4 linked regions of the Tamandua tetradactyla genome follow. The protein of the gene in region 4 purifies or fractionates together with the protein of the main gene of each other region. This does not show direct contact. Links are inferred from orthologs where the notes say so. Each region holds a gene or a part of one and is shown on either strand. Other genes may lie near its edges.

Region 1 (7,014 bases), on a different chromosome or scaffold from region 4:
AATCCCCTTGCTGGGGTCCTTATGAGAGGATAAAACACAGAAACATCAAGAGACAGGGGGTTAGAGAGAAAATGCCCTAGTTGAAACAAGCAAGGACCCACAGGAGCTGAGAGGGAAAGCCATTGAAACGAGAACCAGGGGAGAAGGAGCAGCAGACATCACCACGTGCCTTCCCATATGACACAGGAACGCTGGATGCCAACAGTCCACTGTGACGTGCCCCTGCCGGGCAGAGGTCTGGAGTCCAGGCCCCTCCTTAGCCACCTTTGATGTTGATCCTTGGCCCTGCCAGCTGCATTCAGAGGGCAAAAGCCCGCTTAGGCTAAGAAGTCCTTCCGAAGGGGCTCTGGGCCTGGCCAGCGCTCAGAAGGCCCTCAAAAGGGGGCAGTTGATCTGCAGGCCCCTGCCTGACCTGATTAGTCCAAATTCTGAACCAGCCATTCACTAGTGGAGCTGCCCCGCCTGCCCTTGCTGAGCTGAAACACTGGGCAGGCAGTCGCCCGGCTCCCCAGGACAAGGCAATGGCCCCTCACCGAGCCCCTTCTGACCCGCTGTGAATCTACCCAATGGCTCTTCAGGTCAGTCTGCATTTTCCTTCCAGCCACATGCTGGGCTGAAATCTATTCTCCCCTTGCATTTTCCTGACCAGATGGAGAAAACAGAAGAAGGGAAAAAAAAAGAGATTAGAGAATTCCAATGCAGGAGGTCTAAGAACCTCACATCAAGGAAACTGTCAGGGGTTGGGGAAAATTAGGGTTTCTCCCCCTTTGTTTAGGAAAGGCAGAAAATGTCATCTTGAGTGTGGGACTGGGGACATTTTGTCATAGGAACACAATACAATGTATCTAACTCTCTGATCTGTGCAAGTAGCTTTATCCTTCCAGCTACAAGTTTGTTCTTGAAAGAATACAGATATGAAGGCCATATGATGATGTTTCTCAAATCCTGAAGCTGCTGCAGATGAATTCTATTTTGGGTTGTATTCAAGGGGAAGCTGTTCAAATTAAGGGAAGGCTCCTTGGACTCCATTCAGTTTTGCAGCCTCTTACCCACATCTTTCATCTTAGAGGAACAGGAGGCTGAACGGTTGGGGCTAAGTCTGCCTCGGCTGGTCCCCCAGCACCTCCACCCTCCAACTGCAGACTTAGCAAGCCAGGCAACCTCTCTGAGCTTTGAAAAGTGGAGATGATCAGAGTGGAATCCGGTCATGAACTCGGTGAAGGGATGTAATGGCTAATGCACATATGAGCCTCTGCTCGCTGGATGCCTGCTTCTTGTGTTCCCCATCCCTCTGCACCTCTGTTGCCAGGCTTCCTTACTTTCATCTCCTCCCTGGGGCACTGTGCTCCCCATCTGTCTCCCTAAATGTACACTGGGTTTCTAGGGTAGGTTTGGCCAGTCCCTGATTCCCACAGTTGACTGGTGAAGTCAGCCTTGAAGAAGGCACGGGAGGAGGCTGAGGATGGCAGAAAGCCCTAATATGTACTTCAAAACCACCTACGGTTGAGTATTGACAGCAGTCTACAGAGAGAAAACATGGGCTTCTTTTTTAAGTGAAGGACTTGAAAGGGTGTCAGATTAAGAATGCAAGGAGATTTAATTCCTTAAAAAAAAAAAAAAAAGAAAAAGAGAAGAACCGAATTTGATTTTATTTTACCAAACTGAATCAGAACGCATACATACAGAGGTATAAACACTTTAGATAAGAAAGCTGAGATGTGTACATCCTACCACCCAGCAATTTCACATCCAGGTGTGCTTCCTAGAAACTCTTGCACATTTGCTCAGCTATAACAAAGTTCATAGCAGCATTGTTTATATTAGCAAGGATAATAACTGCAACCAACCTAAAGGTACATTGACAGGAGCATATGTGACCTTTACGCAGAGGAATGCCATATAGCACTGAAAATGAGCCGTCCACAGCTACACTGATGGATCTCACCAACATCAAGGTGAACAACAACAACAACAAAAAAAACAGTAGAAAAAGGCTTCCAACAGTAAAATTCTATCAAGTTTCTATCAAGTTCAAAAATTATTTTAAACCCTAAATAAAACTAAGGCCAAGGAGGAACAGATACCCAAGGGACTTGAATGAAATTGCAGATGTTCCATTTCTTAAACAGGTAGCGGGTACATAAATGTTCAGGTATTTTATCATATAAATCGTATACAGTCTTTGATACGTTTTTAATATTTAAGGATAAGCAAACAAACACAAAAACCCTCTATCTGTTATGAGGGTTCATCTGCCGCCATTAGCTGAGGACCTCCTGCAGGCCCCTCATCATACCGTAAAGTTTCCCATCTGCCTGGACACCCACCTTCAGAACAGCTGTATCACTTTTTCAGTAGACCAGTGTTGCACAAAACACAGATGAAATCAGTAATCCAGGTGTGTTGTCAATTGCTGGAGATTCACTTTCCCTTAAACCTCGTGTCCTTTAGATGGCCTTCAAGCACCACCTGCAAGGCTTCGCCAGGTGGTCTGCTCATAATACCTTGGACACTTCCTCCCCATCAGGTCCATGCCCCTGTGCTGCCCTGCAGGCAAAGATTAGCCCCATGGCCTATTAACAGAGCATCAGGAACCATGAAGATGGACAGGACATTTTGGCAGCCTGTGGATTTTTAGAGATTTGAGGGCATCTCCACTAATCATTAATGTTTCAGCTACAATTTGAGGTCGAAGTGCTAGCTCAGAGCACGGGGGTGGCTTCCAAGAATCTTGCAACAGCAGCTGTCTCATGTCATGATGCACTACATTTGATTTCCTGCTAGATGCACTGGTTCTGGCCAGAGAACTATTTTAAGAGCCATGTCTATCGTTATCTCTTTAACAATTCTAATGTAAAATTAAAGGGATTGTTTGGCATCCTTTCAGGACCACACCTTAAAATTGCTCTGAAAATAAAAGCTTTAAGGGTCTGATTTCCTTGGCGTTCTTACAAGGCTTGAGAGACGTTCGCTGTTGATTTAGCTGCTGAGTCATGGGGCTGGGATATTGGTTTTAAGCAGCCAGAAATGGCAGTGTACAGTTGGTGAAATCATAACCTCTGCTTGCAAAATCCATATCAATCTTTACTGAAATAGTTTACGATTTCCCTGTTTCTTTTCTTTTTTTTTCCTGAATTCAATCATAAAGTTCTTGCTTAGTTGTTGGAAAACAAATACGTGGACTCAGGAGGCCTTCTTAACCCTGTGCTTTGGAAACCTAAGCCAGCAGCTTGGGGGCAAAAAAAAGCTAATCATAAGAAATAAAGTAAATTATTTATTTAATATCTTTATGCACGGCAGTGTGTTAAATATAAAGACCATGCTGTTTTAGATCTCAGACTTAGAAATCAGGAGGGAGGGCCGTTAAGTAAATACAAAAATAAATGTATCGGAAAATAAAGCGATCATCTCAGGCCTTCTTTGGGGAGGCGCGTGTGTGTCTGTGTGTGCGCGAGTTGATTTTAAATGGACTATCCGTTTTTTTCTTGATCAGAAAATCAAAACCATTCCGCCCACCTCTTCTTGGTTTTCTTTTGCTAGACCAACGGGAATTACTACCTGCTTCGAGCAGTCCCCTCAGGGGGTATGTGAAATTCCATCCCTAAAGTCAGTCTTTGCTGTAGTTCAGGAGAACCTAGGCAGATCTCATCAGGGCCTACAAAGAGTAAAGGTGTGTGTGTGAAGTCTTCTGTCCTCAATGAAACAACACGAGAGAAGAATGAAATCCGCGCGGGGTGCACGCGGGCGTGCGGCACGCCGGAAGCGTGAGCTACAATGAAAAGTGAATCTGTCCTTCGGCTCCGTGCGTGGGATCCTCCACGCCCGCCCGACGCCGCGAGGTGAAGGAAACCCAGGTCACCTTGGCGGCGGCGCGCGCGTGGGGCCCGGCCGGAGCGCAGCGCGCAGGCGCGGACGAGCGCACGTGGACGCGGGCACGCGGCGCTGCGGCTCCCCCACCCCCTCCTCGCAGGCCCCCTCCCCACCCCAGGGTCGCGGCCGCTCAACGTCTCCACGCCGCCGGGGGCTCTCGGGCACCGCGCTCCGGGCCGGGCCGGGCAAGGGGGCGCCGCGAAGGTCATCAGCAAGGGCGTGCGGCGGCGCGGCTACGCCGAGTGCGTGCGGGACTCGGAGTACGTGCCGGAGCCCTCAGCCCTCATGCCCGCCGCCCCGCCCCGCCCCGCCCCGGCGCCACAGACCCCCGCCCCCCTTAGGGGCCCCGGCGGGAGGCGGAAAGGGAGGGCCGCGGAGGTCGGGGGCCCTTCTTGGGGTTTGAGTCTCCCGAGTCCCCAGCCTAGGCCCAAGTCCCCAGGCCTCCCGACCCCCTTCCCCCCTTTCTCAGCCTCAGCGCAGGCCATAGTCCCGCCCCTCTCCCCGAGGAGGGGGCAGAGGGCACGATTGACGGAGCACTTGGCCAATGGCGAGGCGGCGCGTAGGGGGCAGGCCCGGGAAGGCGGGAAGTGGGCGGAGCTCCGGGCTGGCAGGAAGTCGGGGCGGCGGCGGGGAGAGGACCCCGGGCAGTCGGCGCGTGCAGATCTCGCCTGCTGACCCTGCTGCGGTGTTTGCAGCCCTCTCGGCTTCTCCCTCGGCATCGTCCCTCGTTCACGAGACCCGGCGGCCAGGTAAGGACCCCGGGGAAGGCCGCGGGCGAGCGCTCGGCAGGTGGAGCGTGGGTTTCTTCGCCAGGTCCCCTCCGCGGCGTGCCCGTGGGCGCGGGCGTGGACCGGAGGGCTGGACGGTTCCCGGGCAGGCGAGAGGTGCGGGCCGACGCGTGAAGATGAGTTGCTTGGAGGGTCGGGGGAGAACAGGCGACCGTCTAGTCCAGCGGGCTGGGGAGGAAAGGGAGCCTCTCTGTCAGGAGCCAAGTAAAGGGGTTAGTTAGAGGGGAGAAATGCAGGCTTCGCCAGGATTTTTAATTAAATAATTAAAGCCAGGCCCTGCCTAAAACGGGGGAGGGGTCTGGGAAACAGATGACCCGCTAGCTGCGGCCCCCTCCCCCACCAGCAGCCTCTGTCCCCCGCTGGTGGCTCCCGGCCTGTAGGTCAGCGGCGTGCTGTCCAGCCCATCGCTGCTCCGAAATCAGACAGCTCGTGTAGCTTAAGAGGGTACTTTTTTTTTTTACAGTAATTGATTTTCTTCTGTCGAAAGAAGCCCCCATTTTTAAGAATCCCTGCCTACCTAGGATAAATCCCACTTGATCATGGTGCATAATTATTATTTTTTTTTTTTAATTTTTTAAGAAGTTATAGGTTTGCAGAAAAATCCTGCAGAGCTGCCATCTGTAGCCCCAGTCAGTAACACCAAGAAGGGGCTTCTTTATTTTTTATTTATTTATTTATTTTTAATCAAAGGGCCGAAGAGCCGTTGAGTCATTGAGGAACCGGCCAGGAGACTCTGCCTAAGTCAGGCAGGATCTGCTTCCCACCTCTCTGCCGGCCACCCCCACTCCGGTACTGGCTGACATAAAAAGGAAGTATTTTGAAAACGCTTCCTGTTGGCTTCTCCCCGGCCATGTGGTCGCCTGGTTGCCTTGCCTCAGGCCCCTCGGGACCCCTCCTCCCCGTTAAGTTCAAACCAAGCCCCGTGAAGAGCGATCCTGGGAGGCGGTGTAATCAGATCAACCCTCTCCCAGTCTGTGCTCCCTAAAGTTTCATTACTTTTAAAAAATAGCTATCTACCAATTTTTTTTGTGGGGTGCTTGGGCACAGCAGGCGAGCATTCTACAGTTAGCTATCAAATTTAAAGACACACTTGAGTTGATTATGTTTTATGTCACTAAATGAAACGAAAAATTAGACCTTAGATCTGTGTGCTGTGCCACTGTGTTAAGGATGTATTTAAAAGTATGATTAAAATCTACAGTAGCAAAGGAAATTAGTAGTTGCCTGGGAATGGACTGCAAACCATTAAAGCTGTATAGTTTGTCAAAACTCATCAAACTACACACTTGAAGTGGGTGCACTTTATGGTATGTGAATTATTTCTGAAAGTTGGTTTAAAACAATATGTTTTAACAAATGGGCCTTTTTGGAAGCCAGTGGATAAAAGCTAGATGCCTTTTAATTGACTAATGAATAAACTCCATTATTACATAGAAAGGAAAGCCACAGAAGTGAGTTCAGTGTCTAATTTTGAAACTCAAAATTAAAAAATAAAGATAGGATGCCATGTGCTGCTTCAGAACATTCCAGAGAAGATGTTGGAGGGTAGCCGAGGGAAATAATGGTTTCTGAATGCTAATTTATTTCCTCTCATTCACTTAAATGTCATAACTTGCTGAATTACTTTTTTCTTTGGAGACCCCCTGGGGAAAAAAGTGAGAAAACGGCTTTCTTTGGGCACTTGCTGCAAATCTCTGTTTTTTTTTTTCTTTTAGGTGTTATTTCTCTCAGAATGTTGTAGCAGAAGATAGAATTTTCTATTTACAAATCCCAATAGTTTATAATTAGGTTTTTTTTATTATTATTTTTTTATTAATTAAAGAAAAAAGAAATTAACACAACATTTAGAAATCATTCCATTCTACATATGCAATCAGTAATTCTTAACATCATCACATAGATGGATGATCATCATTTCTTAGTACATTTGCATCAATTTAGGAAAAGAACTAGCAAAACAACAGAAAAAGATATAGAATGTTAATATAGAGAAAAAATAATAATAATAATTTTAAAAGACACAAACATACAAACAAACAAAAAAACTATAGCTCAGATGCAGCTTCATTCAGTGTTTTAAAATAATTACATTACAATTAGGTATTATTGTGCTGTCCATTTTTGAGTTTTTGTATCTAGTCCTGTTGCACAGTAATTAGGTTTTTTAAATGGGCAAAATGGCCTTCGGAAGAAAGGGCCGTGTGTCCCACTACAGGCCGAATGCTGCGGCATTCAAGAGCCCCCAAGCCTGTCACTTCTGAGCTCCAAGCTCAGAATTTCTAACTGAATATCTAACTGCTCCCAACTGAACAGCCTGCTGCTACTTCAAACATAATGAATTAAAAAATTAAGATGA
Region 2 (7,225 bases), on a different chromosome or scaffold from region 4:
ACTAGCCACGTGATTTCCCATGTGACAGACAGTGGCCTTTCTTGAGTCAAGGTAATTTTGGACATTTTTATGACCTCAGACCAGTAAACTTGTAACTTAATAAATTCCCTTTTTAAAAGCCATTCCATTTCTGGTATATTGCATTCCAGCAACTTCAGCAAATCAAATTAAATTTTGGTTTGCTTCCTTATTTATCTTTTTATGGCTTCTTTCACTGTCTCTTTTCTCTCACACTTTTAAACTTAATTCTCACTAATGCTTCATACTCTATTCTTCCTCCATTCTCTGTCTTTGAATAATCTTGTCTTCTCCTATAACTTCAACTAGTACATCTACACAAATGATTATTTTACATGTATTCCTTCAGAACCTGTATCACACCTCCACTTTCTCCATCATCTTTAATAAGAAACGTGATTAAATTCTTAATCAAATGCTCAATAAGGAGTAGCTGCACACTAAGACCTAGAAAACACAATATGAATTATAATAAGTAAAAATGTTCCAAAACAGCAGGAAAAGCAATAATAGGCTATTTAAATCTGGGTTCTATGAGAATTTCTTGAAACACTTTAATTCTTCATTACTTTCAATTCTCAGCTTGTACAAAAATGTACCAAAGACTCAAAGGTCATTCACAAATCTTATGTACATGATTAACCTACATTAATCCTCTCTAAAATACAGTTATACATCACAGAAATATTATTACATAAGTATAGTAATAGAAAGTCCGAACAGAGAATATAACTCACAAATTATTGAATAAGTCTGGGAACAACATACAAAATGATTTCAAAGTCTTTAAGAGGGGTTTGTGAAGATGTACCTATGTACCATAACCATAATTTATAGACTCATGGATCAATTATAAGAATTACCAATAATTACACCTCACTATCAGAGCAAACCGTCTAATGAAATTTTGTGTTACTTCAAATACATTAACAATAAAAAGACTGTTCCATTTTGGCCTTCAGGTTAGATAGCAAAAGGTAGTTACACGTATTTATATCCATATGATACAACTACTCATGTGTTCAATCTTGTAAACAATTACAGAAATGAGAAGACTGGTATACCTAGAAAAAGTATGAACAAAGCTCCATTTTTACAACTCTCTCCAATGAATAAGCCACAATATGTACTGAAAAAACAAATACCTGGCCTTACAGCCTAGCTTCTTATCAATGGGAAAAAAATTCATCTGGTTATCACCCCACATTCGAGAAATATATTAAATTCTTTAAATGATTTGAAAAATCATACATTTCTTTACTTATGTATTGCAAGAAGTTGTGAGAAAAAAAAAGACAAACCAACTCCCAATTACTAATGTCAAACCCAAGCTGGTGAAACAATCAGTTACCAGCCTTCAGGATATGTGCCATAGAAGTACATGGAAAAGAAAACAACAGAATTCTTAGCAAAAAGGAATTCACATTTTAAGAAAAAAAAAATGAAAGTGACATTTCCCACAGCAAGGAAGATGAAGATGCAGTGCATCTAACTGGAAGAGATCTAGGGGCTGATCAGATTTTCTAATTGGCAGCAGGTGAACACTACACTAGCTGTCATATTCTGAAGTTCTTCCATTCAGCTTTCCCTTTTCCTCTACAAAACCCCCGCTACTCCAAAGCCTAGAAGTGACAGAGGAAATAGAAGATGAAGGGAAATGGCCGATAGGGCCACACAAGAGCAGCTGCAACCACATCGCTAGAAAACCAAAAAACCCAGTTATCAAAATGTAGCTTTAAAATTTTCTATCAGACACCTTTCACTCTACATAACTATCTGCATGCCTTATTTCTAAGACTAACTGAAACGCCATGTCTAAATGACTGTTTGATTCTCTGAAACTCATCGTATAAATATGAGACTATCCTTTACCTATACCACTGCTCCCTTAGATAAAGGCAGCTTTTCTTTAAGGGAATTAGAAGGGAGAATGAAATGTCATGGAGTGGGAATAGGGGGCAGGGGAGGGTGATCAGTGAAAAAGACATGCAAATACCACTCCGGCAGACACTGAAAATGTCATTTCCCTCATTACTCTTACAAATTCTTTTCGTGTATTACCCTTTGACTCTATACCCATCCCTCCCACTTCTTCAACTACCATATGCACATGCACACACACGTGTCATAACCGACCTACACCATCACCTTTTCCAACATCCCATACTACATTCCCACCCTCACTAACCTTCCACATAGGCAGACAGACACACACATACACACAGTAAAAACTGCAGACACCGCACCCTCCAATGTCAATAAGTACCTCTACCAGGCTTATGCGCGTAATGAAAGACTGCTCAGTAAATATGTAAGTAGACGCAGACACACACACACACACAGGCACACACGCTGCATGTGAGGCAAGGAAGGGCACTCTGGAGACGCACCTGGAGGCCGGGTGTCCAGCGCCGCTGACCCCCTGGTCTCTGTCACTGAGCGCAGCTGTGTATATCCTCCGGTAGCGGTCGGCCAGGGCCCGGCCTGACAGCAGCAGCTGGTAATGACCCCGGGAGTCCGCGGTGGGCAGCCCCAGCCCCAGCCCCGCGGCAGTCACGGAACCCTCGGGAACCGGCATGAACAGCGCCCCCGGCGCCGGGGAGGAAGAGATGGTGGCGGCTGGGAAGAAGCCGTCCCCGCCGGGCCCCGAGGAGCCGGCGGCAGGGGAGGCAGTCGCTGCGCACATCATCATCCTCGCCGCCGCCTCGTCCCCGCGGGCCGGGCTGGCAGACACGCGCGCGCACACAGCCCTTTTCCAACGACGACGGCTCTGGCGGCGGCCTCTCACTCCCGCAGCAGGGAAACTACAAAGACAGCAGCCTTCTCCTCCTTCTCCTTCTTCGCCTCCTCCCCCCCGCGCCGCCCTCGCCACTACTGGGGCCGCTCATCTAACCCCGCCACACCGAGAGTGTAAGGAGGAGGCGGTGCCGCCACTGCCGCCACCACCACCGCTACCACCGCCGGGGCAATCCGCAATGGGAAACTGCTAGCTGCACTGAGCATGCGCCACTCCTTGCACATGCTCAATAGCTCGAGCCCCTTTCTCTCCCCACCCCCTCTCTGCCACCTCTCCCTCCTCCTCCGGGGTTTGGGTGTGGGAGCTTCGTTTGTGCTCAGTCTGAAGAAAATCCACTTCGGGTTTTGCTTGCCGCATGAGGGAAAGTAATGAAAATACTGGAGAGACGATTAGCTAGCGGTGTTCGACTTCAGGTAATGGGGTTCCCTCCAGGAGGGAGAACTAGCACCCGAAAGAAAGAGGGAAGATGCCGGTCGCCAGAAGATGAGGGTTACGCATTCCTGCTACTTCTTCTCCAAAGTCTGTGCTGCCAACATGAAGATTTACTGTGAATAGTGCTAGTTAAATCAGAATTCAAGGTAGAGAAGGCCACTCGAATTAGGAGTCCCTTTGGCGATCTTATTTTGGATTTATTGTCATTAGAATTTAAGTCTGCTTCAAATTGCCTTGACTTACAAAGACAGGTAGTAATCTAATGCACTTTTTTTCTGTGAAAGTAGAATTCACATATGCTGGTATTCAAAGGCTACATTCATTTCTAAATTGTTATCAACATTTACATCAGAGCTAAATCACAACAGCAGCAATTTTCTTAAATGTTCTTTTGACTCTCCACTCGTTAAAGGATCCATCCTTATCTCTTGACAGCTGTCACTTATCGGCTTATCTTTTTCTGTCCAAGCTGCCAATAATTGTAAGCCTGTATAACACCTGAAAATGTCAAATCTACCAAAGATCTTATCATTGCCATCTAAAAAGTGTAACATCCTGAGTCCACTGTTTCAAGCTATTCTACTAATCCCTTCATAAGTGTCCTAGAAATATATATTCAAATGTCCCATGATTTATAGTTCTATCCCTTGACTCTCAATTTGAAGAGTTTGCCTAATGTATACTCCTAACATATTTCCTTGTCCATTCATCCCAATACTATACCCTTCTAGTTACTAGTTCTGTGCCTCTTTTTTGAATGTCTTTCACACATGAAAAATAGTAATAATGTCCAGTTGAGTGTTTTGAGAAGTGCAAACAAGAAATGAGGAAGTAAATTAATTCTAGATTTTGTTGAGGATGAGGTGCTGAAAGGCTGAAACTGCATTTTTATCTTGGGCTTTGAATGATAGATGAATATACTTTTAACAAAAAGATACCTAGAAATATGATGAAAGCATAGAGACAGGCACAAACGTGGGGAATCACAGTATTTTATTTCAGTACTGTAAGTAGCCCTGTTTAAAAAGCTTTGTACCTGTCTTGTTTCCTCAACTGTTTTACTAATTTCCTCAGAACTTCTGGTTTATCTTTATGTCTTCCTCAGTCTCTAGTAGAGAACCTTACACATAGTAGGTATTCAATACATATTTGTTAGGCTAAATCTGATGCTTCAGCGCAAAGGTCAGTGTTGAAAAGGAAGTGCCCCTAACCCTGGGGTGAGAACATCAACACTGGTGTAGAGGCAGCTCAATTTTAATTGTGAAGTTATAGGCCTAACAAGTATGAACTGCAAGGATACATTACTGTTGTTGCTAGGATACATTACTGTTGCAAGATCAACAGAGTAGCAAAAAAGGCTCTGAAATCAGATAGACATGGATTTGGATCCTGCCTCTGCCACATAATACTTGTATGACTTCAGGAATATTTCCTCGTCTGTATCATACCTACTGCATAAAATTGTGGGAGATTTAAAGCATCTCTGACTTTCCAACTTGGCACATGGCTTTCCACAAATGGTAAAACGAAGAACAAAACAAAAACCACACTAAATCTATCTGTAAGATGGGAGTGGTGCCAACGCCTGTTCCCCACTGCATTCCCAGGACCTGGCACGGGGTGTAGCCTTAAATAGGAGAGATAGATATTGGTGGAATGAATGAATGAACGAACGAATGCTGCTTACACAGAGAAACAATTCCATCTAGGGCTTAGGTGGTGGCAAATGTAGTCATAGTCCGTTTAGAGTTTCTAGAGGGCTAACTGCTGCTGCACTGTATCGGGGTTCCTTTCACCCCTTCCTTAATTTCACCTCAGTCTTTAAAGTACCCCTCGATTCCAGAGAGGCCCCACCTTGAGACTTCTGGACACACTCAAAACCCGGTACTGGATAATTTCCTAAGAAACCCGATATCATTGAGCGGTACCACTAGGCGTGCGCAGAGTCGCACACATGCTCACTTTGGTATCAGAGGGTGGCGTTTTTTTTTTGCGGTTGCCAGCGGTTTCCTTCCACGGCAGCGGCAAAGGTCGCAGTCGCTCTACTCAAATTGATAGCTAATGCAGCGTTTTCCTCCTCCTCCTGCTCCTCTTCCTGCTTCCGCACTCTGCGAACGCCCCTCGCTACAACTGCTACAGCTACTGCGCTGGCACCTGGACATCTTGGGAGGCTTCTATGGGATAGCCCGCGATGAGACCACCCCAGGGATGAAAGGGCGTTTAGAGTCGTACTTAATTCCACTGCCAAGGGGTTCGAAGGGGAGGGTAGTCCCTAAGGCAAGTCGCGGGAGGTTCACTTCACCAGGACCGTCGAGTTGTGGGTTTCTCGCCTTCTACAAAGCAATCATCTCCTGCCACTCCTGCGCGCAGCGCTACTGAATGCCTTACGCTGCCCAGGTGTTTGGAGCGGGGTGGGGGGAGCTCTTGTTATTCAGACAACTATGGGTAATGAAAGAACAGGGAAGTCTCTGATTTTTCTTTGCTTTTATTTTGCCCATCCCACTGAGCTTGCTTCTGTACTTTCCTCGCTGCCATCTTAGATTTATCTTCTGGCTTGGCTGGGCGTGCTCGTGCATCGAGTTAGGAGGGAGTGCTAGGGTGGAGTGGCAGGGAGGGGGAACCCTAGGTGGGGTGTCAGAATAGGCTAGACATGCGTGCACGCCCCATTCGCCCTAAAAGAATAGCATTAAACTAAGGCATATCCTGCCTTTTACTGATTTTACTAGTGAAACGCATATATAGTATTTTTCAGGATTTGTGGTTGATACCATGCTGATTTCTCAAAAGAATCTCATCTGTGATCATACAAAAAGATTATGGCTGCTTCTTTCACCTTTATGATCACAGATTTTGTTGTTCTTGTCCACTGGACATTACGTACCTGGGACTACAATTTTCTGAACTCTTACATTTTTCTACTCTATATTTAAGAATATGCATATATACATTTTTTTAAAGAAGCCACCAGAGCTGATGCAGTGAAAAAACCAACAACAAAAAATGTACCATGGCAGGACCCATGATGTGTCTGTAAAATGACAGATTGATGTTGTTAATTAACATCAATTTAATTTAATTAACATTTAAAAGGCTAATATTGCACTAATGCTACAAGGTTACAAACACAGGAAGCATGCATGCTATCAAGAAAATCAAAGCTGCTGAAAATGCTGTCATCGAGTTGAGTCTGAGTTTGTTTCCTGGATTTGTACAATAGTGTATTGGATCATTTAAAAAAACAAAATGGTAGCTGAGAGTATTTTGAAACAAGTTTAATAACTGAGAGCAATTTGAAACAATTTACATGCTCAGGCTTGAAGAGTGAGGAAGTTCTTCACTCTTCAGTGACTAATGCTTTTGAAGTGCCACAATATTCATCGTTCTTAACTAATATAATTAAATATCATTTAATTGCCTTTTAAAATGAAATATCATATTTAATAACAGATTGAAGGCAAAATTTCAGTGGGCACTTGAAATTCTTTTGTACATAAATTACACTGAATACCCTAGATAGGTTGACTTTTGGCTTTATACAATTGTATTTTTAGGACTTTATAATATTTAGGTATGGAGAGTTAATGCTTTTTTCTATTTTATCTATATTAGTTTAAAATATACAAAATATATGTCCAAGTTTTCCTACTAATTAAAATTTAAGTTCTAGGAGAGGAATTTATATATGAACATTTTCATCCCTGAAAACAATTATTCTAAAATGTTTATTAGAGAGTGTATGCTTTGGAATGTGTGAATTCAGTAATGTATCTTTGTATGCAAATCACAACACTTTAAAAAAATCTTGTTGTGATGCATGTAACAACTGATATAGAAAGTCATATAAATTGCTCTGTTAAAGAGAGAAATTTAAACAAACACATCATTTTAACTTTGAAAACCTCAGTGTAGTTAACAAAGTAATAAGTTGTTCTTTATTACTGATATTAAATAGTTTGTCTCATTATTTCAAATTCTAAA
Region 3 (8,021 bases), on a different chromosome or scaffold from region 4:
GGGAGAGAATTTAGGAAATTTGATGGCAGATGGTAGAAATGTAAAAATCGGAAAACAAAATCAGTAAAGCACTGGCAGAAATCTTAAGGCACCTAATTGCGCAATCAACTTTTGCTAAGCCACAATGAACCCCTCAAGGTAACTGAAAGTGGGTGGGTCATTACTGTGATACAGAACTTTAATCTCTAGTTTATATTTCAATCTATACCAATGAGTATCTAGGTAAATTCACTATAAACAACTCTGCTCAAAGAAACAGCAGACCAAAAGAAAAAATATGCTAGTATCAAGCATATAAAGAGTTCTTATAAGTCATGCTTTATTTTGAACAGGAAATGAAATCCCCTCTGGAATTATCAACTATCATATATAATGTATTAGGGAACTTATTTTTTAATACTTTATGTTGTTGCTGCATGTGATTTTCAATGAAAATTCTTAATTTGGAATCAGAAAAATGTACAATAATAAAGTTTTTTTTAACTGATAATTTTTAAAAATTAGCACCCTTTATGTACAGGGAAGGCAACAAATAGACTCTCTAATGTCTTAAACAAATCAACATACCCATTTCTGTGGTTACGATTTTAAAGTTACTACCTGAAAAGTCATTCTTTAAAAATATACATATATATTAAAAAATCAGTTCCTTGTTTAAAAAGATTTAGGGTAGAAATACCCAAAGCACAACCTTTGGTTAGACATTACAAAGTACAGAATCCTCTCCTATAAAACTATTTGTTTCTCCAAAAGAATCTCAATCTTTTCTCTACATGACTCTCATTTAAAAGATAAAAGAAGATAAAAGAAATGACACATCCTAGAGACTGCCTATACATATCATATATTGTCAGTTGTCTAAGGAATCTACCATATAAAAATTAGCTACATATACACAAGCCATTAGTCCTCAGCATGATCTATGGTAATTTGGGGGATCTTTCTTCACTAATATTGGCCTATTTGGTTATTTTAATTACCTGTGAAAGTGTCAGTGTGGTCATCCGCTGCCAAACAACACTTTAAATATCCCTTAATCAATATCTGCTAATCTATGAAACTCCCTGGACCTGGCTGATGGTAAATGGTAGACAGAGGGGGGAAAAAAAAGAGGAGGAATATAGAGTTTTATTCCCATATGGTAAAAAAATCTTCTGAGTAAAAAAATCTACTGAGAGTAAGAATCCCTGCATATAACTGAATTTTACGATTAAATATCTGAATAAAAATGCTTGAAGAAAAAGAAAGAAACCTGATCCTACTATAATGGAAGCACAGACACTATGTCACTCAGTCTTTGTAGGTTAAAAAAATCGCATGTGTTGTTTTCTTTGAGCTGCATAAATACTGTAACATATTTAATAAAATAGCACTTCCATTTGAAAAGTTGGCATGAATTTGCATTTCTTCACTGGTCTCAAAGAAAAAAAAATCTATGCCACCCATAATTAAATATAACTAATTACACTTTGAACACTAAATTATTTATCCAGTATTAACAAGGATTAAGAGGAAATGATGCTTCTATTTACCACAGAGGTTACAAAAAAATAATTTCCAAAATGAATGCTCTCCAAAAAGCAGTCACCTCAAAACAGGGTACACAACTTAATATAAGTTGGTTTTTGTTAAGGCTAAATTAAATAAATCCTTTAGCCAATTTTCTAATTATATTCTACCCCTGAAACATAATTACCTTACATCTGTTTACAAATCTTTGCTCAATATTTAAACAAATTCGTATTCTCACGGGCACATAGCTATACATACAGTAACTCATGCACAAAGCACATATTTAAAGACCACGCACTGCAAATTATTAGCTTAAACGCCAGGTTTAACAATGTGAATGTTTCCAGAGGTAGGTAATACGACCCAATAAAAAGCAAAGATGGCATTTACCACCAACTGTCACTGCCAACACCAGGAAAGAGTTGGGGGAGTCCTACACGTTTTTAATTTCGACGAATCTAGACGCTGTCATCGGGTGCCAGGTTTCTACGAGAACAATTGACACCCCAACTGCTTCAAGATTAAGGCGATTCAAATCCGAAGGAAAAGTTGTCAATTATCAGAGAGAGAGCGAGCGAGAGAGGCCAAGGCAGATAAAAGCGATGTTATCACACCGCTCAGCTTGTTGCTTTTGTGTATGTGTGTGGATTCGTTGTTAGGACAGAGAAAACAGTTTTTAAAAGACACGGGAAGAAAAAAAAGAAAAAGCCTTCTCCACCTTCTACCGGCTCGGTGCCTTGGCTCCAGTGTAGTAAGCCCCGAGAGGCAGGCGGCTGTCGATGTTTACAATCTCAGGAGCTTCGGTGGCAAGAGTCCTTTACTGACACAATCGCATTCAATCAACTGCTTTCGGGCGAAATTGCAGGTGTCATTACGGAATTAAAAAAAAAAAAATTCAAAAGGCAGGCGAGCGGGCAGCCGATCCGACTGGGGCGAAAAGGCTGCTTATCTTCGGCGCGGGCAGCAACAAGGCAAAGCCTTCCACACTTAGGGAAAAGGGGGGAAAGGGGAGGGGAAGGGGGGGTGTGACTGCAACAGAGGGTGGGCGTTCGAAGTGCGACCCAGAATCCGCAGCTCTGAGACTTCCACATGCAAATTCCACGCCGAGCGCCGTGCTCACAAATGATTTTTAAAGAGCCAAATAAACACTGGATGGGATCCAAGGCGAGGAGAGACGATCCAAAAGGGGGAGAATCGACGAGAGGCGAACGGCGGGGAGAAATGCGGGAGGGGCGAAGTCGCGGCGGCGGGAGGAGAAAGTTGGTCGGTGGCGGAGGTCGGCGACTGAGGTCGGGGGACCCCCACCCCCACCCCGGCACGACCCCCTCCTCGCAGCTAGGCTACTCACCAGCGAGAAGAGGTTGGAGTGACAATCCTCCAGGCTCGCCCCGTTCGCCACCCAGTTCGCTGCCGCAGTCATGATCCTCCGCGAGCCCGGCCGCCAGAGCGGGGCATGTCGGAGCGAGGCGTCCGAGGCGAGGCCGGGCCGGGCGGCGGCGCCTCGCCGCGGAGCGCGGGGCGGCCCGGCAGCAGCAGCAGCCGCAGCCGCAGCCGCCGCCGCCGCCGCCGCCGCCGCCGCCGCCGCCGCGCTGAGGGAGGGCGGGAGGGCCGGCTGGCGGGCGGGAGGGAGGCGCCGCAGCGACGCCGCGCCGGGGGCGGCGGGCCCGGGCTGGCGTGGGGTGGGGGGGAGGTCCGCGGCGGCCGCGCGGCTCCTTCCTGCTCCGCGGCGGCGGCGGCTTCGGCGGCGGCGGCGGGGGGCGCTGTCCGCGCTGCCCGGCGCCCTCCCCGCCTCTCAGGGCCGCCGCTGCCTCCCGGACCGGAGATGCGGGCCGGTCGCCGCCTCCGCCTTCCCTGCTCCTCAGCCGCCGCCGCCGCCTTGTTTATCTCCAGCCACCGACTCCTCCTCGGCCCCCGCCGGCGCGTGAGGGGTGGCGGGCCCCGGAGCCGCCGCCGCCGCCTCGGAGCCGCCGCCGCGGAGCGCGAACTCGCGAAGGGGGGGGTGCGGACGAAGCCAGCGGGCGACCCCGGCAGCCGAGCGACGTCCCCTCCTTCCTCTTCCTCCCCCACCCCCCCCTCCTCCCCAGTCAGCCTCGCTTCTCCTCCCTCCCCCGGCTCGCTAGCTCTGACAGCAATGGCGGCCGCCGACCGCGGCTCGGCCCGCCATTGGCTAGCGCTGCGGCACGTGACGGGCGCCGGCCGCGCGGGGGGGCGTGCGGGGGCGGGGCCCAGAGCGGCGGCGGCGGCAGCTCGCGGGAGGCGCTGCTGAGCCGAGTGCGGCGGATTCTCAGGCCGGGAAGAGGGAGGGAGACGGAGAGCCAGAGAGGGACAGAAAAGAAGTGCTGGCGGCCCGGCTTCCCAGCTCCCCAGCTCCCCAGCTCCCCAGCGAGGTGCACCCTGCCGACTTGAGGTTGCCGTGGGCTGCCCCGCGTAGGCGCCGGGCCCCGCCCCTTCGGGGTGCTGAGATCTTTGCGGAGTGCCCCGGGGTGCTGCGGGGCGCGACCACGGACCCCGGAACGCCCGCTGCGGCCGCAGTGGAGAGCACGGGGTCCCCTCCCTTGTGACCCGGCCTCCCAAACCGGCTGGCGTGGCGGAAGCTAGCTGTGAGCCACGCCGCGAGTCCGAGTGTTCTGGCGAGCGTCTCAGGGAAAAACCTGACTCCGGAAGGTGGGTCTGCATTTTATAGATGAGAAAATTGAAGCACAAAGAAATTAAGTCACTTGCCCGAGGTCGCACTACAGGGAAAAGGAAGAGCCGACATCGGAATCCAGGCACCTCGCCCGGGATATTCACAGCTGCCGTTTACTGAGCGCTTACTGTATACCAGGTACTAGGCGTTTAATACATAAATGCTTCTTGAGACCTCACTGCTAGGCACTGTGTGCATCCATTCATTCTTATTCATTGCACAAAAGTTTCCTGAGCGCTTGCCATCTGCCACAATATGTTATAACTGATTTCCCCACTTATGTGCCAGGCACTGTGCTCAGGCTATGTTGGGAGCAGACCTACCCTCCTGACTCCATTCAATAAACGTTTCCTGAGACTGTATAGCTTTGGAATTCGGTTGGCGCCAGTATGAATAGTCTCTGTCCCAGTCTTCAAAGTGTGCACTCCCTGCAAAGGTGGGGAGGAAAAAACTTCACTAATATGTCCTCAAACGTGGAAGAGCTAGCTCTTTCAAGGAGACTAGACTAAAAGAGAGGAGAGAGTTGGAAAGGGGATTAGTTAAGAGGTGAACTGAGACTTGGAACTCTCCCAAACACTGCTAAAGTAAAACCCATGAGCAGCATGTTATACTACCTGTTATTATCACAACTGACACTATGTTACAATTCCGCGGACACTGTGTTATGAAGGATGTGCGTACATTATTTCACATGATCCTCATAACAACCACATAGAGCAGACACTTGTTATTATCCTTGGACTGTAATAAAGTGAGGATCAGAGGTATGCAGTGACATCTCCAAGGTATCTCAGTTAGTGAATGGCAGAGCTGGTTTCAAACCCAAATCTGTTAGGCTCCAGAGCTAGGGCATGAATCCAGGAGGCTCTGTGGGCAGATGCTAGACCAGAAGCCAGGTGACTGCTGGCCTGGAGCTGGCTTTGCCTCCCTGATGATGTTGCTTTAACCAAAAGAATTTAACTCTCATTTCTAATCTGTCAGAGATGGATCCTAATTACTGATCCACCAACCTCAGGGCAATGTCGTGAATGTATATTAAGATTACTGGTTTTGAAAGTTTAGAAAAAATGCCAAAGCAGTTTGTCAACATGCTTGGTGTTACTTAGGCCTAAACAATAAGATGGTACGACAGTCTACCCTTATTCACATTCCATGTACTTACACCCCAGATGGGCTTCATCCTACACACCTACCTGGTTACCAAGCGCTCATTCTTCAGCAATTTAAAAAAAAAAATCTCACAGAGCAAAATCCAGTATTGCAGAATAGGAAATACATACGACTTTTAAATGTATAAAAAGATGCTCGACCTCATTCATCATAAGAAAAACAAATTAAAACCAGAATAAGTATTGGCCATATTTTTAAAATTTAGATACATGTTGAGGGAAGCAAGGCTCTCCTACATTTTACTGGAAATATAAATTGGCACCACAGCTTTGGATGTTGATTTGATGAATATCAGATTTTAAAATGTACATCCCTTTGACCCAGCAATTCTACTTCTAGGAGTTTATCCAACAGATAGACTTGTACAGAAGCACAAAGACCTGCAGTGCAAGGGCATGGCATTGTTTGTATGGTGAAATCTAGAAACAATGTATGTGTTCATCACTTGGGAAGTGGTTAATAATATAATCTCAAGCAACCACTAAAAATACCCAGTTAGCACTATGTGTACTAATATAAAATAATTTCAGAATATATTCTTAATAGCGGTAACTCTGGCAGGTTACACAAGACACTATTATCGGTTGCCTCTATGGAGGGGGGACTGGGGACCTGGAAGTCGGTGGGAAGAATTACTATGCTTTTTGCATTTCCTTTTCTTTTTCTTTTTTTAAACCAAATGCATATATTACCTATTCAAGGCAGTATGTTATAAACAACAACAAATAAAAACCTCATCCAAGGAGATTTCTTTGGCTGTCGAAGCCAAGGCACCAAAATGGGAGAAAAAAGGCCAGAAGTGTGGAGTGTGGTTGCCCTGGCAACATGAGTACAGAAAGAGAACCCAGGGGAATCCGATTCTAGTCCCAGGTGCACCCCTGAGCAGCCTGGTGACCTTGGACAAGCTACTTAATCTCTCTGGGCCTCAGTTTCCTTCTGGGTGAAAAAGGGTGGCCTGGGTGAGCCTTAAGGTCATTTCTAACAATGAATTTTTTTGATTCTCTGCACAGTTGAGATCACTGATTAAGATCTGCAGAGTTCTTTCTCAATAGAGAAAGCAATGGGAGTTGACGGAAGGCCTCAGGAGATAAAATTAAAACAAAAACAAAATCCTCAATTATCTAATAGGAAGTATTAAAGAAAGGAACTAAGCACCAGGGCTTCTAAGTGCAGTTCCCTATGTCAGAGACACCTCTTAAGCATCCTCGGGACTTAGTTTCTCCATTTGTGAGAGTGCCTTTCCTAGGCAGGAAACAGAAATTCTACTCAGCACAGGTCTCAGGCCGCCTTCTGAGAATGACAGGTTAGTTCCTTTTCATGGTTACCAAATGTAATGGCAGAGTGAAAATGGAAGCAAAAATATGACCAAAGGAGGAACCATCTATTAGGAAGACTAACCGGAGGCCTCAGCAGCTGCAGAGAGAGCATTTTGTAAATGCTAAAGACGCACCTGGGTTCCACTCTCTGCTCTGCCCCGAGCTAGCTGTGCAGCCTTGAACAGGTCATTTAACCACTGCGACCCTATTTCTTCCCATGCATTGGCCTCCCAGGGTGAAACCGCAGGGAAAGTTCTTAGGGCAATGCCTGGCCCCAGGGGCAGTAGTCAATAAATTATAACAATCATGCTCACTTTCCATCTTTATACAAGAGAAATCATCACCCAATCCCATTCCTGAGGGATTTTCCCTTCTAACCTAAACTTTACTGGATTTGTGACCTTTCATATTACAAAAGTACAAAATGCTAGCTTTAGCAAGTCAAACAAAACACATTTCCAAAAGGAAATCCTTTTCTCTCTGCCCTACTTGAGGTAGAGAGAAAGTTGCAAATCCTTACTCTCCTTCCTCCTTGCTCCTACCGATGAATACATTTCTAAGGGAATTTTTATTACATTTCATGAAAACGGGATCATGCCACATACATTTCTCTGCAATCTGCTTTTTTTTCACTTAACATTCTATCACAAATACACCTCTAGGCCTATATAGCTCGCTCTAACTCATTCTTTTATTAGTTGTGTAATGTTTCATAAAACACCTGTGCCATAATTTATCCAATTATTTCCCTATTCCTAAGCATTCAGGTGGCTTCCATTTAAACAAGGGTGCAGTAAATATCCTTATCCATATATCCTTATGTACTGACACTTTTATTTCTGTCGAGTAAAGTCCCCAAAATCGGATTGCTTTTTTATTGTTAATAAAGGTATATTTTATTATTAATAAATACAGCCAGAAGACTTTCTCCAAAGGCTGTGGCAATTCACTCCCTCAAATAATATGGAAAGAGTATCCACTCCCTCACAACCTTGCCAGTGTTTGGATGTTGCCAATCTTTTACTTTTTGCCCACATGACGGATGAAAAGTGGTATAATTGTTGTTTACATTTGCTTTCCCTGAACTCTAGTTAGGTTGATCTTCTTTTAGGTGTCTTGACCATTTGCATTCCCTCTTTTTTTCTTTTTTTTTTTAAGGAAACAAACAATACACTTAGAACCACCAAAAATGGATATCTTAGTTTAACCATAGACATATTTAAATAAAGTGTATCTATATAATCATTGTAAAGCCTGTATTTGAGCAGTAAGTTTCATAAAGCAACTTAAAATTAAGGCAACAAGGAAAAAATCTACAAATTCAAATAGCAAAGTTC
Region 4 (7,016 bases):
TTCCCAGCCAGAAGTGAACAATATACAAGGAATCTTGGGAATTGGTTGACCTTATTGATTCAGAAAATTGAGAGTCAGTGTGACAATGGCAAACATACTGTGTAGGAAGACTTGAGGCAGAGTTTAGACTTCTTATTTACTTGCTTGCATGACCCTGGCTGAATTACTTAAGTTCTCTGGCCTCCTGTTTTAAATATCACTGATTCTAAAAAGGAACTGACAGATAAGAAAACAATCAAATGTAATGTCAGGCACTGACATGGATAGTATTTGAAATGAAATTTTTAAAACTCCCATATATTTCAGTAGGAACTTTAGGAGCAAACTAAAAAATCCACCATAAATTGTAAAATCAATGAATCTGGGAAATGAAAAAATTTGTGCTGGGGTATCAATTTATTACATAGCAGTCTGTATGAGAAATACAAAGCAACAAAGACAACCGAGTTTAATTACATGGACTCAAGAGAAGATTTATCTTTATATACTTGAGGGAAAATAAAGCACAGCTAAAACAAAAATAAGCATGAAGGATTCCAGTTTGTAGTGGCAACAATACTTGACAGTTGAAAGTGTGGCATTATTTTGGAAGGTAAAGAATAAGAAAAGAAAATAGTACTATAGTTATGTCCTTAATCAGTCTGTGATCAAATTAATAAAATACAATTAGTTGAACTATACTTACTGAGTGGGCCATAAACACAACTAATTATTTGGTGGTATTACCTTACCTAAGTAGCTTGTTCAAATTGTGGACCATTGTTCAAATGGGAAAATCAGGCATCTCAGTAGATGAGACATTAAAAAGACAACATACCTCACAAAAGCGGAAATAAGAAGGGCTAATAAATACATGAAAAGACCTCAATAGCATCAGTAATTAGGGAAATGCAAGTTAACATCACGATGGGATTCTACTACACACAGCTCAGACTGACAGAACTGAAAAGGGACAGTAATGAGTGCTGTTGTTGTTGGTGTGGAGCAATGGGACTCATGTGGCTTGTGGGAGTGTAAAACTTTCGAAAAGAGATTGGCGTTATCTATTCAAATTAATGAGACTCATAACAACCGCCAGGTATATACCAGAGAGAAACTGATGTCAACGTGATGTAATATCTATATGAAGAATGTTCACAGCAGCATTGTTTATTGCAGCCCAAACTGGAAACAACCCAGATGTCTATCAACAATAGAATAGCTACTATAAATTACGGTGCATTGTTACAATGGAACACTGTAATATGAAGCAATTAAAATGAACACATTATAGCTAGATGCAGCAACATGGATTAGAAACCATGTTGAGAAACAGCAGCAAGCACAATGGATTACGCATTATGTTGTTTCATCTACATAACATTCAAAAGAAAGGGCAAAACTAAACAATATATTGTTTAGGGATGCATGCTTGTGATAAAACATGCTTGAAGAAAGGCAAGGAAATGATTATCACAGAAGTTAGAATAATAGTTACCTCCAGTGCAAAGGGAAAGAGTCCTTCCTGTTCAGGAAAGATCACAAGGGGGTTTTTGGGGTACTGCAATATTCCATTTCTTGACCTAGTTGATTTGATACGTGGAGATTTCCTTTATAATTACTCATTATAATTGCTTTGCATTTTTATGTACATTTCACAATAAAAATGCCAACAGTACTCCATGTACTGGGACATACTGTAGATGGAATTTCTAGAAATAAAAATAAAATTTGCAGATAATTTAGCTAATGAAATCTTTGATAGTAAAAATCATTAATGTGAGATATTAAAACATTGATTCAATAAGGGCTCACTTTCAACTGGAGGAGAACCCTATAGAAATGTCCCTTTGTTATGTTTTAATGTAAAATGATATCTATATGATAAACAGATTGAAAAACCAAGGAAAGAACTCTGTTACCTAAAACTTCAGGTATTTGCAATTTTGAATCAACTGTATCCTCTCTCCTCTGGATTAATAAGCAATACAAGGAACTAAAGTAGATATGGAAATGAATGGACTTCCTCTCTCTTCTCACCAGTTCCAGCTGTTTCCTTCTCTTCTCATGCTGGGTCCTGAGGTGGGTAGACCTTGCCCAGTAACCTTAGTGCAGTTATTTCCTAAGTAGATGGCTCAAGGCTTTCCCGAGTGTCAGTCTCTCAGTAATAAGGTTTTAAGGTGGAGCATTTGACAATGGAAACAGATCAGGCTGCTGAAAAACCCTGGGTGCTACTGGAGGCATCCTCTGAGGGTTGCAGAGCTCTGATAATTGTACTCTTTATGTTTCAAGCCCACTGAACTTAAAACCTGAGGTTCTCAGCATCACAAAACCCCTTAAACCTGGGTGTTTTACTCCAATTTCTATCATCCATCCACAGAATGATGAGAATGGCAAAAACAAAAAAGATTTATTTTGTAGCCATTTGGGGCCATTACTTGGTGGTTTGATTCCCAGTCTCATTTGGAATCAAATGCAGGGTAACTTAAGTAGGCTCTTATTTAACTTGGCTCTTGGGATTTGGGTTCAAGGGCAGGAGTGTCAGGTGTTATTTCTGCAGAATGTCTCCACTTCTCCCTCTTTTCTGCAGCTTTTAAAACAAAAGCAAAAACCAGGCCCTTGGTTTTACCAAGTTAGAAGTTTCCTTGGTCAACAGTTTGCATATGGTGCTGGTAGCACTGGCAGAAACCCCAAGTTTCCAAATCTGCTTGCAATACTCCTGCTTCTATTCCTCCATAGAGGAATAGTAATGGAAAAGACTTCCATTACTGCTGCTTCCAGAGGAAGTAGGGGGTGCGAGGTCCAGTGACAGAACTGTGGAATTCGCTTCCTTTCATCATTGCTGCTGCTTTTATCGCATGCTTACACTATTCACCAGGACAGATTCAGGACAGATTTCTGAAGATTTTGGTTCTTTTATATTACTTCTTTTCCTAGAGAATGACCTTTTTAACTTTATGAATTATTACTTGAATTGACCTTCCAGAATAACATCTGTAGGAAAAGCTGCATAACAGTAATAACATTTATTTCAGAGAGGAAAGAGACTTTCAGCCACATGTGAAACGCAGGCCAAAATTACTTGATGAGGGTAATGGACACTGAATGACAACCAAGACAAGGTCAAGAAGTTCTCCATAAGCAAGAATGATTTCTAACAGTGAGGCATTGCTAAATTCTCCTCTAGAAAAACAGTCAAAAATCTTTCTACGATCTCCGGAAGGATGGTTCCTTTCCAATACTCCTCCCCCTCACACCGCCCCCTCCCCGACGCAACATTCTCCTGGAGTATGGCTCTTTCCTCCTTACCTCCCCCCCCACCCCCCCAGCCATCCGTCTCCTCCTCGCCTCTCCCCAACTGCCCTCCCTGGCAATTCTGCAAAGACGCAGGGAGTAACTCTCTACTCTAGCCACACCACATTTCCTTTCATGGAGGAAAGGGGGTGCATTATAACTTTCCTCATAATGCATCGCAGTTTACAAAGCGCTTGCACTTCTATCATCTCCTCTGAGCTCTTTGGGTGCCAAGGGACGTAGGCATTCATTCATTCATTCACCAAATTTGCGGCTCTCCACCACACTTTATCTGGCTGTAAGTCTCACCCCACACCACGGGAAGGGTGGAGTGCTCGCTCCTCGAAGCAGATGCGGTGAATTAGGCGTCAACTTCTCGCTGGGTCGGGTTTGTTGAGGGCCCGTTTGGGGCCAAATGCCTCACCTTCGAGTGGTGCGCGCCGGAGCATGGCCACACGGCTGGGCCTCCTCCTTGCCCCCAAAGGAGCAGTCACGCTCTAGGGTCAGGGGTAAGATCAGGCCGTAGCTTAGGCTCAACTCGGCTCCTCCCCTTCCTCTCTTCTATTCTGACGCGATCGCAGAGGCGGCAGCGGCGGCGAGTCCCGCGGTCCCGGGCGCACCCACCCGCTCTCGGATCCTCGACTTCCTCTTCCCCTTGAGCGTCATCAAAGTGCGCCAGAGTTCCCCAGGTCGGGGTGGGTGGGAAGGGAAAAAAAAAGGCTAGCGGTGGAAGCTTCAAAGCAGAGGGGGGAGGAGAGCGGTTGCTAGGTGACTTGCGTCATCGCTGTGCGCCGGTTTCCTCCCGCCCCTCTCTGTGGAGTGAGGCGAGAGCCCCGCACAGAGCGAGCGAGATAGCGAGCAGCGCTCCGGGCGCTACAGCCACCGCCTCCGAGAGAGTGAGAGCGAGGGAGCATCCGAGAAACTCAGCTTCCGTGCACTGGCCGCCACCGAAACCTCCGCCCTAACCTGGGCCAGCGAGAGCCGCGGCCGCCCTTCCTCTCCCCCCCCCCCCCTCACCTTCCCGGCCGGCAGCAGCGGCTGCACACGCCGGAGCCGGAGCCGGAGCCCGCGGCTGGGGGGGCAGGGAGGCGGCTACCCTGGGTCGGGGCTGGGCAGCTACTCCGCGGTGAGAGGACGCTGAGGAGGGTCCGGAGCTTTCTGCCTCGTCCCGGGACGCGGGGCGAGGGACCCCCAAGGTGTAGGGAGGGGGTCCCAGTCGCAGCGACACATGCGGGAGCCGGGAGCGGGGGCGGCGCCGAGCGGAGCCGGCCAGGTCCCCCACCTCGCCGCCGCCTCGGCCGTCCACCCGGGGCCGTAGCATCTCGCCCTGGAATATATGAGCCGGGGCTCCAAGCTCAGCAGCCACCCCCCAATCGGGGGGGCGGGGGCCCCGATGTGAAGAGGCGGCCCGGGTGGCGGGGAGAGCAGGACCCGCGCAGAGGTTCCCTTCCTTACCTTCCCCCTCCCCCACCCCCTTCGGGGGTCTTCTCCTTTGGCCAGTCGCCAGCCCCCCGGCTCCTCCGTAGGGCTCCGGGAGGAGTTCTCAGTGCCCCCTCCCCCGCCCCAGCCCGAGGGCGGCGGGGCTGGGGGGGATCCGGGGGGCCGGCCGCAGCCTCCGCCCAGAGAAAACTTTTTATAAAAATAAAATCCCAAGTCCCCCCAACGTGACTGTCCCGGGTGAAGTGGCCCTGGAAGGGCTGGAGCCACAGCCTGAAGAGACCCAGGAAGAGGAAAAAGGAGGCAAGAGGGGCCGCCACCCCTTTTCCACCGGCGGCACGGAAGAGACCCGGGTGGCCACCTGGCTTAGCGACACTAGCACCGCTTCTTCCTCGGTAACGCACCGGAGCTTTTCGCGGCCGCCGCCTCAGTCGGAAGGAGGAAGGGACCCAACCCACCTTCTCAGCTCCACCGTCATTACTCTTCGCTCCTAAAGTGTGAGTGGCCCCGGGAAAGAAAGTTGGGATTAGAAAGTGGGAGGATGCCGGTGCTTCTTCTTGGAGTTTTGCTCATGTTTCCCAGGAGTATTGGGAGTGTATAGGTGAGACAGTACCTTTATTCTTCACCGAGGGGGGAAGGTATTAGGTAGTCCAGTATTTTGTTTTAGTGCTTTGTGTGTATTATGCAAGCGTACAAGTTTCTCTTAGAGGAATTTTGCCTTACTCCAGAGTGGGTACTTAACGCCTTTTGGGCCTGCAATTGGCAAAAGAAAAGGTAGCCAGAGCATATGTGCACATAAAGGACATCTCTAATCTTCTTTTTTCCTGGTACACCTAGTGTGAAACAGCGCTGTAGTTGTTTCTGGGGAACTCTCATATATAGATGCCCAAGTAACCACCTACTTACTTACTTTTTGAATTGAAAGTAAAATTCCTTTCATTTTTTGCAGTCTTCCTTGAAAATTTTCTGTTTTGCTACCTATTAATACAGGATTTTTTTTTTTAAACTTTCTAAATTTCCTTGGTTCAGTTCCTGTCTGTCAGGAGGACACTAACAGATTTCAGTCAACCAGGAAATTCTGGATTTTTATGAATCACAACTTACTAGGGGTCTCCAGAGCATTTAGTGCTTTAACCAGTTTATAAAAATTGTTACATTTTTTTCCTTCACGCATTTTTTTTCCTTTCTTGAGAAGCATGTCTAAATTATTGCACTTTTTATTGGGCAGTTTAGCTTGAGGCTTTGATTATTTGAGTTATCGTCACTTCTCTGTTAATTTATGAGAAAGTTTCCATATTTAATTCTTTTCCAGAAATATTTTTCCTTTCATTTTAAAGTTGAAGTTTATAAGAACTTTCAGGGATACTTTCAGAAAGCCAAATTAGAGGTGCAGGAAAGTAATTTACATTTCGTATGTTTATGCACCCCTTAAGGGTTAAATAGACATTTTATTGAACAGAACATAGGTGGTATACCAAGAATTATGGTCCATCCAAACACCTGTGTGGGCTCTGTCTTTAAAGGCACTGCTGAGACGTGGTTTGTGGGAATGGATGTAAATCTGGGGTTATCGATCCTAAGTTCTCCATTGAGTAGATTTAATTTTGATTAAATTTACTTTATACTTAACATTGTTTTGATCCTGTACCTTTTCTTTCTTAAAGTAATGAGTTCTGCGAGTTTCTTGCTTCTGGATTGTGCCACAATTTAATTATTTATTGTGAATCTGTTGCCTTAAAGTTCCAAGACATAGGCAGAGTTTGTTTTGAGAAAAGGAAGAATAAGCCTGAGTTTATCTTTTCCTGGTTATATAGATTTTGATGTTCCTTCTTACCATCATGTCTCCTGACTATTTTTGTCTTAAAATAATTTATTTCATCCCTTTTATCACTGTGCCCTCCTCTGGAACTTCTGTTTTTTTTTTTCTTTAGCTACCTTGTTCTTGTTAATCTTTTGTAGGAAACCTGCACTTCTATCTTATTTAAATGGGTACCAACGTGAAAATATTGAGCAATAGATGTAATGTTCTATTTGGAATCAGAAAAAACATCTCTGGAGTCCTTCTTACTACGTGACCTTTAGGAAGTCATGTATTCTGTGTTTCACAGGGATATAAACATGAGAGATCTAGTCTTGCATAGGCTGTATGTTAGATACTGCTTTTTATTTGTCAGATTGGCTTGAAGCTTTGATTATTTGAGTTACTGATGTGAATGTATATGTACATTTTTCATTAGGGAAACGTTTGGTGCTGGATTATACAGAACTAATTGGTGTATCTGAGCCAGATCTGGAAATGTCCGTTC

What was found.
Region 1: the proteins of FBXW7 (region 4) and ENO1 purify together in Homo sapiens (affinity purification with western blotting; 3 studies listed by BioGRID, with this or other methods). This does not show direct contact. The link is inferred for Tamandua tetradactyla from reciprocal best matches to the Homo sapiens genes FBXW7 and ENO1.
Region 2: the proteins of FBXW7 (region 4) and MYCBP2 purify together in Homo sapiens (affinity purification with mass spectrometry; 6 studies listed by BioGRID and IntAct, counting the BioPlex papers as one, with this or other methods). This does not show direct contact. The link is inferred for Tamandua tetradactyla from reciprocal best matches to the Homo sapiens genes FBXW7 and MYCBP2.
Region 3: the proteins of FBXW7 (region 4) and MED13L purify together in Homo sapiens (affinity purification with mass spectrometry; 4 studies listed by BioGRID, with this or other methods). This does not show direct contact. The link is inferred for Tamandua tetradactyla from reciprocal best matches to the Homo sapiens genes FBXW7 and MED13L.

The regions. Positions count from the first base shown.
Region 1 is NC_135328.1:216,492,184-216,499,197, forward strand, and holds the start of ENO1 (alpha-enolase), read left to right. Parts: upstream 1-3,996; 5' UTR 3,997-4,130; intron 4,131-4,460; exon of another isoform or gene 4,461-4,565; 5' UTR 4,566-4,619; intron 4,620-7,014. UniProt on the Homo sapiens protein: Glycolytic enzyme the catalyzes the conversion of 2-phosphoglycerate to phosphoenolpyruvate. In addition to glycolysis, involved in various processes such as growth control, hypoxia tolerance and allergic responses.
Region 2 is NC_135330.1:145,172,281-145,179,505, forward strand, and holds the start of MYCBP2 (E3 ubiquitin-protein ligase MYCBP2), read right to left. Parts: upstream 3,008-7,225; 5' UTR 2,711-3,007; coding exon 2,409-2,710; intron 1-2,408. UniProt on the Homo sapiens protein: Atypical E3 ubiquitin-protein ligase which specifically mediates ubiquitination of threonine and serine residues on target proteins, instead of ubiquitinating lysine residues.
Region 3 is NC_135331.1:16,692,205-16,700,225, forward strand, and holds the start of MED13L (mediator of RNA polymerase II transcription subunit 13-like), read right to left. Parts: upstream 3,001-8,021; 5' UTR 2,933-3,000; coding exon 2,861-2,932; intron 1-2,860. UniProt on the Homo sapiens protein: Component of the Mediator complex, a coactivator involved in the regulated transcription of nearly all RNA polymerase II-dependent genes.
Region 4 is NC_135348.1:14,755,610-14,762,625, forward strand, and holds the start of FBXW7 (F-box/WD repeat-containing protein 7), read left to right. Parts: upstream 1-4,004; 5' UTR 4,005-5,207; intron 5,208-7,016. UniProt on the Homo sapiens protein: Substrate recognition component of a SCF (SKP1-CUL1-F-box protein) E3 ubiquitin-protein ligase complex which mediates the ubiquitination and subsequent proteasomal degradation of target proteins.